Linked DNA regions of Coturnix japonica. The protein of the gene in region 1 purifies or fractionates together with the protein of each later gene. This does not show direct contact. Links are inferred from orthologs where the notes say so. Each region holds a gene or a part of one and is shown on either strand. Other genes may lie near its edges. The genes, in order: RHOC, DAAM1 and RAP1GDS1.

Region 1 (3,747 bases):
CCATCCTAACCTGGGGAGGGGTCAGCATCACCCTGAGCCCTGCCCAAGGCTGCAGTGACTCACAGGGCAGAGGCCCTGTCCCCGCCCAAAATCTCAGCACAATTCATTCCATTACTCACCCAGCAGCCCAGAAATAGCCCATTGCTAACACACAGCCAGCCTCCAAACAGCAGGGAGGAGGTGGGGAGTAGTGCAGCCACGGTGCCCCTCAGGCTGCCCTATCCCTGTGGGCACCCAGAGTGGCACCAAGTAGCTATTCTAAGGTCACCACCAGTAACACAGCAAGGGCTCTGGCACAGCTGCTTCAGGAGGAGCTCAGCTTCAGGCTGAGCTTCGTGCCTCAAAAACTGAAATTCCTGCTGAGCAGGAAATGGGGAATTCCTGGTAGGATGCATCTTTCACCCAGTTTCTGTTCCTGAACCTCAGGAAATGGCACAAAATGACGTCAGTGCTTTGAAGAAGGGATCGGTCCAGGGACAGAAACCTTCCCGCTGGCCTCTCCTCCTGAGACCCCATCCCCAAAGCCCATCACACCAGCCCTGACCCCACAGCACTGCACATCTATGGGGGGCAAACAGATCTCCAAGGAGAGCAGCCGTCTCCATCTGCCTGGTATTGCTGTGTCTGCAGCCTCTGCTGAACCTCAGTGTTTAACAAACAAGCGTCCTGGGCACTCAGACTGTTTGGATTTACTCCTGTTTGGAAGGAGCTGGGCTAATCACAGCACAAACCAGGCTCAAGGCTAGAACATCACCATGCAGTTCGCTGGGTTTCACTCCCTCAGGCGCTCAGGCAGCACAACCTGTGACACAGAGGAGACCTAAGGAATCCTGCAGCACCCAAAGAGCACGAAACCCCAGCAGGGAACACAAACGGCGCTTTCCAACCAGTGCAGCCAAGGACAGCAGTCTCCACTTCTAAACATGGCTTTGTGTGTTCAAAGGGCTGCAGCCGCACCCCAACGCACGCCAGGCAGGGTCATATCGGGACAGGCCCTGGGGGAGGTGCAGCCCAGGGTGGGCACGGAGCATCCCTGGAGTGCTTCAGGGCTGCAGCTGAGCCCAGAGTTAAAGGGAAGGTATTTGGGGACAGTGACAGAGGCACATTGCAATCATCACGACTCCAGCAGAAAGTCCCACGGCACAGGATGAGTTCCTGGCAAGGTTCAGGAATGGGGGGAGCCTCAGAAGCAGAACAAGATTCCAAAAACAGCTGGGAAGGAGCAGTGACACCAAGGCACAGCACAGCAGCAAGGAAGTTCAGGCTTTGGGGTCCCGGTTGCGAAAGCTTGGAGCTGTTCCTAAGGTCTGATCAGACACACTGTGCTACACCAAGCAACAACACAGCAGCGGATCAGGGCTGCTCTGCAGACAAGGGGCAGAGCAGGCAGTTTTCATTGCCAAATCCCACAAAAACATCCACAAGCAAAGCAAAGAAAGGGATTTGGAGCAGAAGAATGTTAAAACCCAAACTGGGCTTGAGCTGGGAGCACTCTGTGGGAAAACACGTGGCATTGCTGCCCAGCAAACCCAGAGCTGCACACCCCGCAGTGCTGGTGCTCACTGGGCAGATACTGTGAAACCAACACATGATACCAACCCTGACCGGCGCTTGGAGTCTTACTGTAACCCATTTAAATGTCTTCTGTTTCAGGATGACATCCAAGGCAGCAAAAACATCACATGTGCACAAAGCCTCTTAGACTGAAACTCACAGCTCTGGCTTCAGGACTGCAGCCACAGCCTCCTACTTTTACACATCACTGGGCTAAAGAAGAGATGCCAACAGTTTATACACGGTCAATGAACCAGCAAGGCTCCTCAAGTGCTGTATTTCAGCTGGATACACTGAGAACTCAGCCTGCTGCAGCACTACTGCTGCCTCAGGAGCCCCACGCTGTCCCCACCTCCTCCATCCACCACGTTCTTATCTTCCATCCCACAGAAGCACCTTCCCCAGCTGTAGCAGCACCAGTATCTGCCAGATGACACTCCCAGGCCAGGCAGGTGGTTGTGTTTGTGCCTCACAGCTGATCCCTATTTGCAAACACATTCCGGACTTCCCATGTTCACACACAGCCCCATCCTGGCACATGCTCTGAGCTGCCAAGCGAGCCAGGTTAAGCACACCCAATATCCACTGGCATCATCCCAATAGCTACCTATGAAACGTTTCCCTGGACAAGCCGAAGCTGTCAGGAGTCAATTTAAAGCACATAAAATCTCACGCAGCTGTAACCGTGCTAGAGAGGACCATAGATTCAAGGCAAGGCGCTGGGAAGGAGGAAATGGGAGCGCAGACGGCCTTATAGTGTCGGGGGGGATCGGGCGGTCGCTGCCCGATTTGGTGCTGGAGCGCCGGGGTTGCTCATGGTTCTGGAATGCTTTTCTGCTCTGAGACATTGCACAATTGTTTCTGCTCCTCCGTCTGCCCCCCTTGTATAAATGTTTACAAATGAGCTCAGCTCTAAGCAAAGCGAACTTTTATCCTTTCACGAAGAAAATACAGCGCTGCTGTATCGGAGGCGGCTCCGTGCGGGACGGCTCCAACCCCTCTTCGCCTCCGGGACCCGGCCCGACCGGGACCGCACGCAGCACCGCCCCATGGCGCACCGCTACGCGCTCAGTCCCATCATAACCCCGCAAGCCCCCAATAGCGATCCCCGCACCCCTTGAGCTCCCCGCAGCGCCCGCATCCCGAGCACAACCCGTACCTCTCTAGGGCACGGCACGGCACGGCACGGCACGGCTCCCTCTCCCGGTCCCGATGCCGGCTCCAACCCCAGCCCCACAGCCCGGCTCCGGCAGCACCGCCCCGTTTTGGGGCCGCCCGCTGAGGGGCGGAGCTGAACCGAACCGAGCCGAGCCGTGGTGTGCCGGGGGCTCCACTCCCAGCCCAGCTCCTGCCCCGCCCTGGCAGCGGGGTTACGTCGGAGCCCAGGCCATGCCCTGTAAGTCGTTTCTATTTTAAGATTTCGGAGACGCGTTCTCCTTAATTTATCCCTCCCCGGGCCAGCAGCTGGCTCCAAAGGAAACGTTTCTTTAGTAAAGAAGGGAACCGCAGAGGAAGCGCTAAATTCAGCCTCTGCCCGCTATGCCCCTCCCCGGCCGGCAGCCGTGGGGGCACCGGGCAGCGCAGCCCCAACCCCGCAGCCCCGGGTGGGAGCAACGCAAGGGAGGAGGGACAGCGGCTCACATGGCACCCAACCTGCCTACACGAATTAATCAGCGCTAATTGGCTTTGAAGTTAGTCGTCTTTGCGGGAGCTCCGCAAGAAAGGCGCTGAGGTGGAACTGCGAGCGGCACGAGCTTTATTGAACCACACAAGGGCAGCTCCTTCAACCCCAGCATCATCCCCCTGCGACACAGAGATGCACAATGATGCACACAGGTACAAATGTCACGGGATAACTTTCACTCCCCACTAAGTGCACCCAGTTTATTTACGTCTCGCTTTGTGCTTTGCAGGGTGCAACACTGCAGAGGTGCAGGAAACTCATCATCCCCCAGGTGAGAGGTATAGCAGATGCAGGATACTGCAGAGAAAACAACTGCAGCTACAGCCCTGCCCAGAACCAGCTCCGAGTCTGGGGAAAAACCAGCCCACCCTATTTCCCAGCCACAACCAAGCTGCTTTTATTGCAGGCTTCCAACCCCCAGCTAAGCAGATTCATGCAGCATTTTAAGCTGTTAAGCTTGGCTGAACGGGGCTGCTCTGTAACTGCTGCTCGGCAGTTGCCAAATTAGA
Region 2 (3,747 bases), on another chromosome or scaffold:
GCCTTCTGAAGCCAAGCTGAGATATTTGATCAGCAGCATCGAGTCAGAAAGCAAAGCACCCAACAAAATCCTCGTTTGTGAGAGAAGGCTGCAGAAATCCCGTAGAGCAGGCTTTGGCAATCTCTGAAGCTGACAGCTGGATGCCCTTGCTTATCTACTGCTGAAGCATGCACAAAAAAGCCCCGAATGCTTGCAGTGCCGCGCGAGCCTTCCAGGCAGCCCCGCCAGGCTCTTAAAAAGACCCATATAAATAGCGAGCCTCATTTATTAATACTTCAGAGATAAAAGCAGCCGTGCAGCAGCAGCTCGGCATAGATCGACACAGAAGACCACCCGCCCTACGTGGTGTATCTGCCTGCATCACCAGCAGCTACCTTTGGGTTGTAAATGCAGTAGGTGTGTTGCTTTTTGTGCCACCCAGCAATCAGGGTCAGTGCAAGGGCTGCTCCCTTAGGATCATAGAATCATTCCAGTTGGAAATGAGGTCCCCAGGCCCACCCCCACCATGCCCAATGACCATGTCTATCAGTACCACATCGTTATGGTTGTTGAGCACCTCCAAGGGCAGTGACCCCACCACCTCCATGGGCAGCCTGAGATCAAGTGGGATCCCCCAAAACAACTCTTCTACTCAAAGAAAGCTGCTGGCTGCTGCTTAGCTAAAGGAGTTGTTGCACTGACACTTGCCTGGCACGCTGCTGCCTGCCCCCTGCACTGCATTTCAGTGGCACTGAGGCTGGCAGTACAGCAGTGCCAATGGCAGAGGTGTGGAGACCATGGAATGGAAGGAGGGGACCTGGGGACAGCAGGTACATGACACCCACACAGGAGTGCATGACGCAGCTCAGGAGATGGGCAAGAAGCCAAAACAAAGAACAGAAGCAGGAGGAGATAACCATGACCCGGTCCTAGCGGCCACCCCATCTAGAGCCCTTCCTGCTGTCTCCCAAAAACAAAGGGTCAGATAAGGCGCTGGCTCAGGTCAGGACTGGTCTGACTCCACTTCCAGCCCAGGGCAGCAGATTTGGCACTGCTCTTACACCTCATCCATCCTGTTTTCCTGCTCGGGGCAGAGGCCAGGCAGCAAAGCAGCCAGCCCCAAACACCACAGGGCCGCACGCAGTGACCCGGCCGGAGGATGATGAGAAGGAAGAGGAGGATGAAGAGGAGGAAGCTTCCCTGTTTCCTGCTGCCCTTCGTTCTCACCTTGCTCCATCAGAGATCCTGGACTTTGGCTCTTGCTCCCTGCACACAGGAGGCTGTAGGCCACACTGGGCTGGCCCCAAGGACCCGAGTCACTTATTAACCAAGGGGGTGTCAGCAGGGAAAGGAGGCCAATGGCAATGGGGCCTGCAGGACCCTACAGACAGGGGACACTGAGTGCTTCAGGATGCCCATGGCTGGGCTGAGGGAGTTAAACCAGGCGGTGTCACAGCTCACAGAGGTGGCCTCAGCAGATAATGCAGCTGGGTTCTGTGTGCAGTATCAGGACCAGCCTCTAGAGAGGGAAGAAAGCCTCATCTGTGCAGCAGAGAGAAGCTGCTGGTGGCAAGGCATTGAGATCTGCAGCAACCAGGCTGCATGAACCCAGCAGGGCTCCGGCACCGGGACGCAGCACCTTCCCACCACCTCCAGGTCCCATAGCAGTGGGGCAGGCACACACTGCTCAGCTTTAGCCGGGAGGACTCCAGCTTGGCTTTGCCTTCCATTAACCTTGATGCAAAAGCAATGCAAAAAGCCCCTTCCACACGAGCATGCAAAGCAGCACAGCCCCCACGGGTGGAACCAAGCACAAACACCATTCAGCCAGCTGTCCCCACGGGGAGACCAGTGAGGGCATCGTCCTCATCCATTGCACCACTGACCCCATTCTCGCAAACACGGTGCCACATCCAACCTGCTGCTCTACGGCTGCTGCCCCACAGCCCCACCCCACCCTCCGACACAGCCATCCCCACCACGAGACACCCCACAACCCCGCTCCCACATCGCGGCGCGGACCCTCACCCCACCAAAGCCGGCAGCGCGGGGCAGGGACCCCCGGCACTCCCATCCCCCCCCGGGGGCACGGGCTCCATCCAACCCAACGGGGCGGCGTTGCCATGGCGAAGGCAGCGCCGCATCCCGCAGCCCCCACCGCCCCGCTCCCACCGCCGCGGCCCCGCCCGAGCCCCGCTCCCCGGAGCCCGCAGCGCCGATACGAGACCCCACAGCCGGGATCCTCGGGGGGAGGGATGGGAAGGAGGGGGGGGGGGTGTACGGTACGGCCCCGGGGAGCGCCGGGATACGTGGGGAGCCTCAACCGCCGCTGAACCGAGAAAGCGGCCCCGATCCCCCGCCCAGCGGCACGACGCGGTCACTCACCGAGCGGAGCCGACACCGACCCGGTACCTGCCGGCGCTGCGCCGAGCGGAGCCCGCCCGGCCCCTGCCCACAATGGGCCGCGGCCGCCCCGCCCCGCCCCGCCCCGCGCCGCCGCAACGACCGCCCCGAGAGATGGCGTCATGCAACACGCCCCCACGGCACGGAGCCGACGGGAGTTGTAGTGTACGGCCATGCGGGAGGGGTGAGCGCTGTGCGGGGAGGAATGTCTTCACGGCGAGGGTAGGCAAACTCCATCCCATCCCATCCCATCCCATCCCATCCCATCCCATCCCATCCCACTCTATTCTATGCCATCCCACTCTGTTCCACCCCGTCTCGTTTCATCCCATTCAGCCCCATCCATCCCTTTTCATCCCATTCCATCCTATCCTACCCTATCCCCTCTCCTCTCATCTCACCCCATCCCATCTCATCCTATCCCATCCCGTCCCATCCCATCCCATCCCATCCCATCCCATCCCATCCCATCCATTTCATCCTATCCCATTTCATCCAATTATATCCCACTCTGTTCCAACCCATACCATCTCACTCAATTCCACTCCACTTCATCTTATCCCATGCCATCCCACACTGTTCCATCCTGTCCTGTTTCATCCCATTCAACCCCATCCCATCCTATTTCATCCCATATCATTCCATCCTATCCTATCCTATCCTATCCTATCCTATCCTATCCTATCCTATCCTATCCTATCCTATCCTATCCTATCCTATCCTATTTCATCCCACCCCACCCTGTTCCATCTCATCCCATTTCATCCCATCCCATCCCATCCCATCCCATCCCATCCCATCCCATCCCATCCTACCCTATTCTATCCCACCCCACCCTGTTCCATCCCATCTCACCTCACTCCATTCCATTCCGCTGCATCCTATTCCATCCCATCTTGTCTCACCCCACTCCATCCCTTCCCTTCTCCTTCCCCACCAGCAGATGAGCACTGCAGATAAGGCGACACAGATGATGACAGGCACACAAGATCCATACCCCAGCTGCTTTCACAGTGCATAATAACATCGTCCCAAGCAGCACAGTCCACTGTCTGCCAGCTGGGAACTCATAAATCACTTTTCCAAAGGTTCCTGCATGGCACTGCCATCACCTCTCTGCAGGATCATGCTGTGCATTCCCACTGCCTTCACGCCAAGGGATTTGCTATTGCTTTTGGTGCAAATCAAAACTCCAGATTGAATTAACGGTGTGTAACACTATAGCTCAAGTAAATATTTCTTTCCTGGATAAGAAGTCAAACTATTTGTACATCGTATTATTATTATTTTATTTTTTTTTCTCAGCAACGACCTTCCAGATCAATGGGAAGGTGTCAAGGGCTGTTGGGAGCAGCAAGTCTGATG
Region 3 (3,647 bases), on another chromosome or scaffold:
CAGCTGCAGTTTAATGACATCTGTGAAACAGCATGGAGAGTAGGAGCCAGCATTATAATTTAAAATACATCCATTGAACCTCCATGCAGGACAGCCAAAGACTAGCAATGTCAAGTGTTTCACTGACAACTTGTGTAACCAAAATAACTGTGCATTCTTAAGGTCAACTTCCATCAAAAGTCATGTAGCAGGTGTGCACCCTCAGCTCTGGACCACCCTTAGACCACATCTATGCACTGTGAAGCAGCGTGTTGCTGCTATTCTGAAAAATGAGCAAATTACTTTGCAGAAATTATCTGGCATTTCAGTCCTCGCACAGCATGAGCTCATAAGGGCCTTGCTGTGCTTGGGCTCTCCAAAGAATTTGGACTGAGTTGCAGAACAAACCTAAGGGTGCATCTTCTGTTTTGTGTACAGAAGAGCCACTGCAAGTATAAAATACAGATTTTATTAAAAATGAAATTTCAGAGCAAGTAATGACCCATTTCTTTCAGTTGAGCCAAGATTTCTGTCACTTGTTCCAAGGGCTTCAGGAGTAAAGAAAGGCCAAATCCAGCAGGCTGGGTTGGGAGACAAATTTATTGTGATCAAAGAAAAGTTGGAAACTGCTGAGGCGAGCTCATTCCTTGCTTATTAGAAATGAGGCTCAATGGAGAAGGTGATGAATGGGTTGTTTAGGTAGCAATATAGGATTTGGAAGCAATAATTTTTCTGTCTCTAGAACACAATATTTAATGCATTATTATTTATTTTTTTTCCCCTGTGAATTTAGAGCTGGATATCTCCTTCTTTACACACACAAATTCCCTTCCTGTTACGTTGGAATGGCAAATCACCTGATGCTGTGTCACCTCTTTTTGTTACGTGAAAGTGATTCTATTAGTTTTGCATCCTGATTTTGGAGAGCACAGTCTCAAAGGTCTGCAGAAATGTAAGTAACAGCCATTTGTTTGGATGTTTTCTGCATGAGGTGGTGTAAGGAGCTTAGCTCAAGTTAAAATAGAGTTGGGTGAGAAAAAATGTCCCAACTTCTCTGTTGAAGGATCAGGCACCTCTTATCCATTTACTGCTGTTGCTCAGCTTTTGTGCCTGAGCGAAATTGTTTCTCCCAGAGCAGCTGACCTTCTCATGGACTCTCTTAGGAATGCAAATAATCTATTCCAGTAGCTCATCTAGATGGTTTTGCCTCATGGCTGATGGCCAATGATCTATAATCAAAAGCACCTAGCAGCACTAGCACAGTGGACTCATGCTCATTTAGGTATGCCTTGGCCTCACAGTGGAAGAGTTCCGTTGACTGCCACATAGTGCAAGCAGCTGAGTTATGTTCAGCAGCAGTAAACCTATGAAAGTTTACTGTGACTGTAAAGCAGACAAAAATTAAGCATTTGAAATGAAATATGTCAAAGTCACAGAATGTTAGGCTAATTCTGTGTCAGTCTTGAAGGGCTGAACTTCTTAGAGCAGCTTCTAGTAATTATATAATAAATGAATATATTTTGGCAAAATGCATGTTTTCAGAACTGAAAAGAGAAATCCTGTTTCACATATAACTTGCAATGAAAGACAAAGGAACTGCCAAAAATAGACATTATCATAACTCTAAATTGAAGACAAAATGTGTCTTGATTTATACTGGGAAGAATAGGATGAAACTTGAATCTTCTGAGTCTACAATTATCTTCTAAGAATGCATTCAATTTCAGCAAGTTTTAATGCTGAGGTGATGAAAACAAAGTATAGAGCCATCAAATACTGTTCTATCTTTCACACCCTGAGCTGTTAATTGATATTTTGGTTTCCCTTAAGGGCAGATAGAAGGTTATACAAACTGCTGTGAGTCTTTCCAGAGGAACATGCTGGAGGGGTGGTCCTCACCCATCACTCATTCACTGCTCAGGCTAGACTAGAAACTTCAGTCTCCTGAGGCTGGTGCTAATATATTACACCAAACTCAAAGTAAATGATTTCCGAATGAAAAGTAAGAAGAGAATGTCCTCCTAGCTCTGCAATTAACGTGTTCCTTGCAAAAATATTTCCATAGGAAATTAAACTGTTGGGAGAGGGTTCTGAGGTCCCAGTAAGTGATGTAGTGACTGATTTATTGGTGCTGCAATAGACTATGAACACTTCAGCCAATGGTTGCGTGTATTCTCTTGCTCCTCAGGGCCTATAGAACTGTGCCAGCCTCTTGTGAGCTTTCAGGAGAAAATGGAGTTCTCTGTATTTCAAAAAGAGACTTGCTGGCTACTACAGAGAAGTAACAATCAATAGTAAACTATACTGATTTTAAAACACAACTTGTAAAGCAAATAGATCGTGCTCATAGGATAAGAATACAATGCTGAAGTGAGAGTAACAGTCCTACAACAGCTCTGATGGGCATCTCTGATATTCACAGTGCTCTGTAGATAAATGTCAAAAACTATTCTGTAGGAAAGAAAGAAAATCTGCTTTTGATATTCCCACTGCAGGTAGGAGGAAATAAAATATAGCATACAGAATGAATCAGAGGTGGAATCAGCATCAGCAATTTGTAGGCTCCTGTCATGTATTCAGACAGTTAAAACATTCGCTTCATCTGAAACTGTCATCATACACCCCTGGGGACTGCCAAACAAGGCAGCCAATTGCTCTGCTGTTAGTCCCCGAAAGAGACAAACATATCCATTCCTTTATTATATTATTTTATATAAAAAATACCGTAGGGTAAAAAAAAAAAAAAAAAGTAAATAATCAAACGCTCACCATTTTCTGCGAGGGGAGCCAAAACTTCAAAGATCATCTCTTTTTTATCATGCTCTACTTGCTTCTTGAACAGTTTCACAAGCTCTTCAGCAATGTTTGTGTAGGCAAACTGCTCTTTGCTTGACTCTGCAAAGCAAAACTTCCGTATCAAGTAAACAAACCAAATCAAAAGCTAGGATGACTTTTTCTCTCTCTTTTTTACCAGATTTACTCAGTGAGATGACTAATAGTGCACTTCACAGGCAAGAACAATAGAATCATGTTTGTCACAAAATGGAATGAAATAGTCTAATGCTTTAGAGCAAATGTACTGCCTTCAATTATGAATAAGGCTGTTCAAAAAGACCTGTGTACATGATTGAGGCTGTTGAGGCTGTTTCTGCCCAAGAGAATGTAAAGGTAGCTATAGAAACAGTAACATGACAAAAATAAAGATGGTATTTTATTATCCTCAGCTAAAGAGGAAGACTAACAGATCATATACTGTATTTTCCCTTGGAGAAAGCTTTAGTGTTTACGTGGTCTTGTGATGGTGACATTTCCTTTAAAATCTGTGCCTGGCTGTTGCAAGGCTGTTTCATACTGCACAGATATCATAACGCAGCTTTACAGCTGGCCAAGGTGGCCACAAGGAGGGTTACCCATTGGACTGTGGTTTTTTATGTGCTGTGGTGCCAACAGAAGCATCTGATTCTATTGCCTGTATCTGATTCCTCCTAACTGGCAGTTTTACAGGGGATGCAGATGGTGGGACTGGTGTTCTGTGTTCTCCAGTTGCCACCTCCTGAGGGCCATCTGTAATTAAATCTTCCAGCACCTTTGCTAACGCTCTAGGGGATGGTTAGAGATTATTTTAATGTAGAACTGGTCAAGGACTGGGAAAAAGCATGAAGTACAGA

Evidence for each region.
Region 2: the proteins of RHOC (region 1) and DAAM1 purify together in Homo sapiens (affinity purification with mass spectrometry; 3 studies listed by BioGRID and IntAct, counting the BioPlex papers as one, with this or other methods). This does not show direct contact. The link is inferred for Coturnix japonica from reciprocal best matches to the Homo sapiens genes RHOC and DAAM1.
Region 3: the proteins of RHOC (region 1) and RAP1GDS1 purify together in Homo sapiens (co-immunoprecipitation; 3 studies listed by BioGRID and IntAct, counting the BioPlex papers as one, with this or other methods). This does not show direct contact. The link is inferred for Coturnix japonica from reciprocal best matches to the Homo sapiens genes RHOC and RAP1GDS1.

What each region holds. Positions count from the first base shown.
Region 1 is NC_029541.1:3,630,959-3,634,705, forward strand, and holds the start of RHOC (rho-related GTP-binding protein RhoC), read right to left. Parts: upstream 2,840-3,747; 5' UTR 2,714-2,839; intron 139-2,713; exon of another isoform or gene 120-138; intron 30-119; exon of another isoform or gene 11-29; intron 1-10. UniProt on the Homo sapiens protein: Regulates a signal transduction pathway linking plasma membrane receptors to the assembly of focal adhesions and actin stress fibers.
Region 2 is NC_029520.1:49,921,369-49,925,115, forward strand, and holds the start of DAAM1 (disheveled-associated activator of morphogenesis 1), read right to left. Parts: upstream 2,475-3,747; 5' UTR 2,365-2,474; intron 1-2,364. UniProt on the Homo sapiens protein: Binds to disheveled (Dvl) and Rho, and mediates Wnt-induced Dvl-Rho complex formation. May play a role as a scaffolding protein to recruit Rho-GDP and Rho-GEF, thereby enhancing Rho-GTP formation. Can direct nucleation and elongation of new actin filaments.
Region 3 is NC_029519.1:53,753,742-53,757,388, reverse strand, and holds part of RAP1GDS1 (rap1 GTPase-GDP dissociation stimulator 1), read right to left. Parts: intron 2,875-3,647; coding exon 2,749-2,874; intron 21-2,748; coding exon 1-20. UniProt on the Homo sapiens protein: Acts as a GEF (guanine nucleotide exchange factor) for the Rho family of small GTP-binding proteins (G proteins) that stimulates the dissociation of GDP to enable subsequent binding of GTP.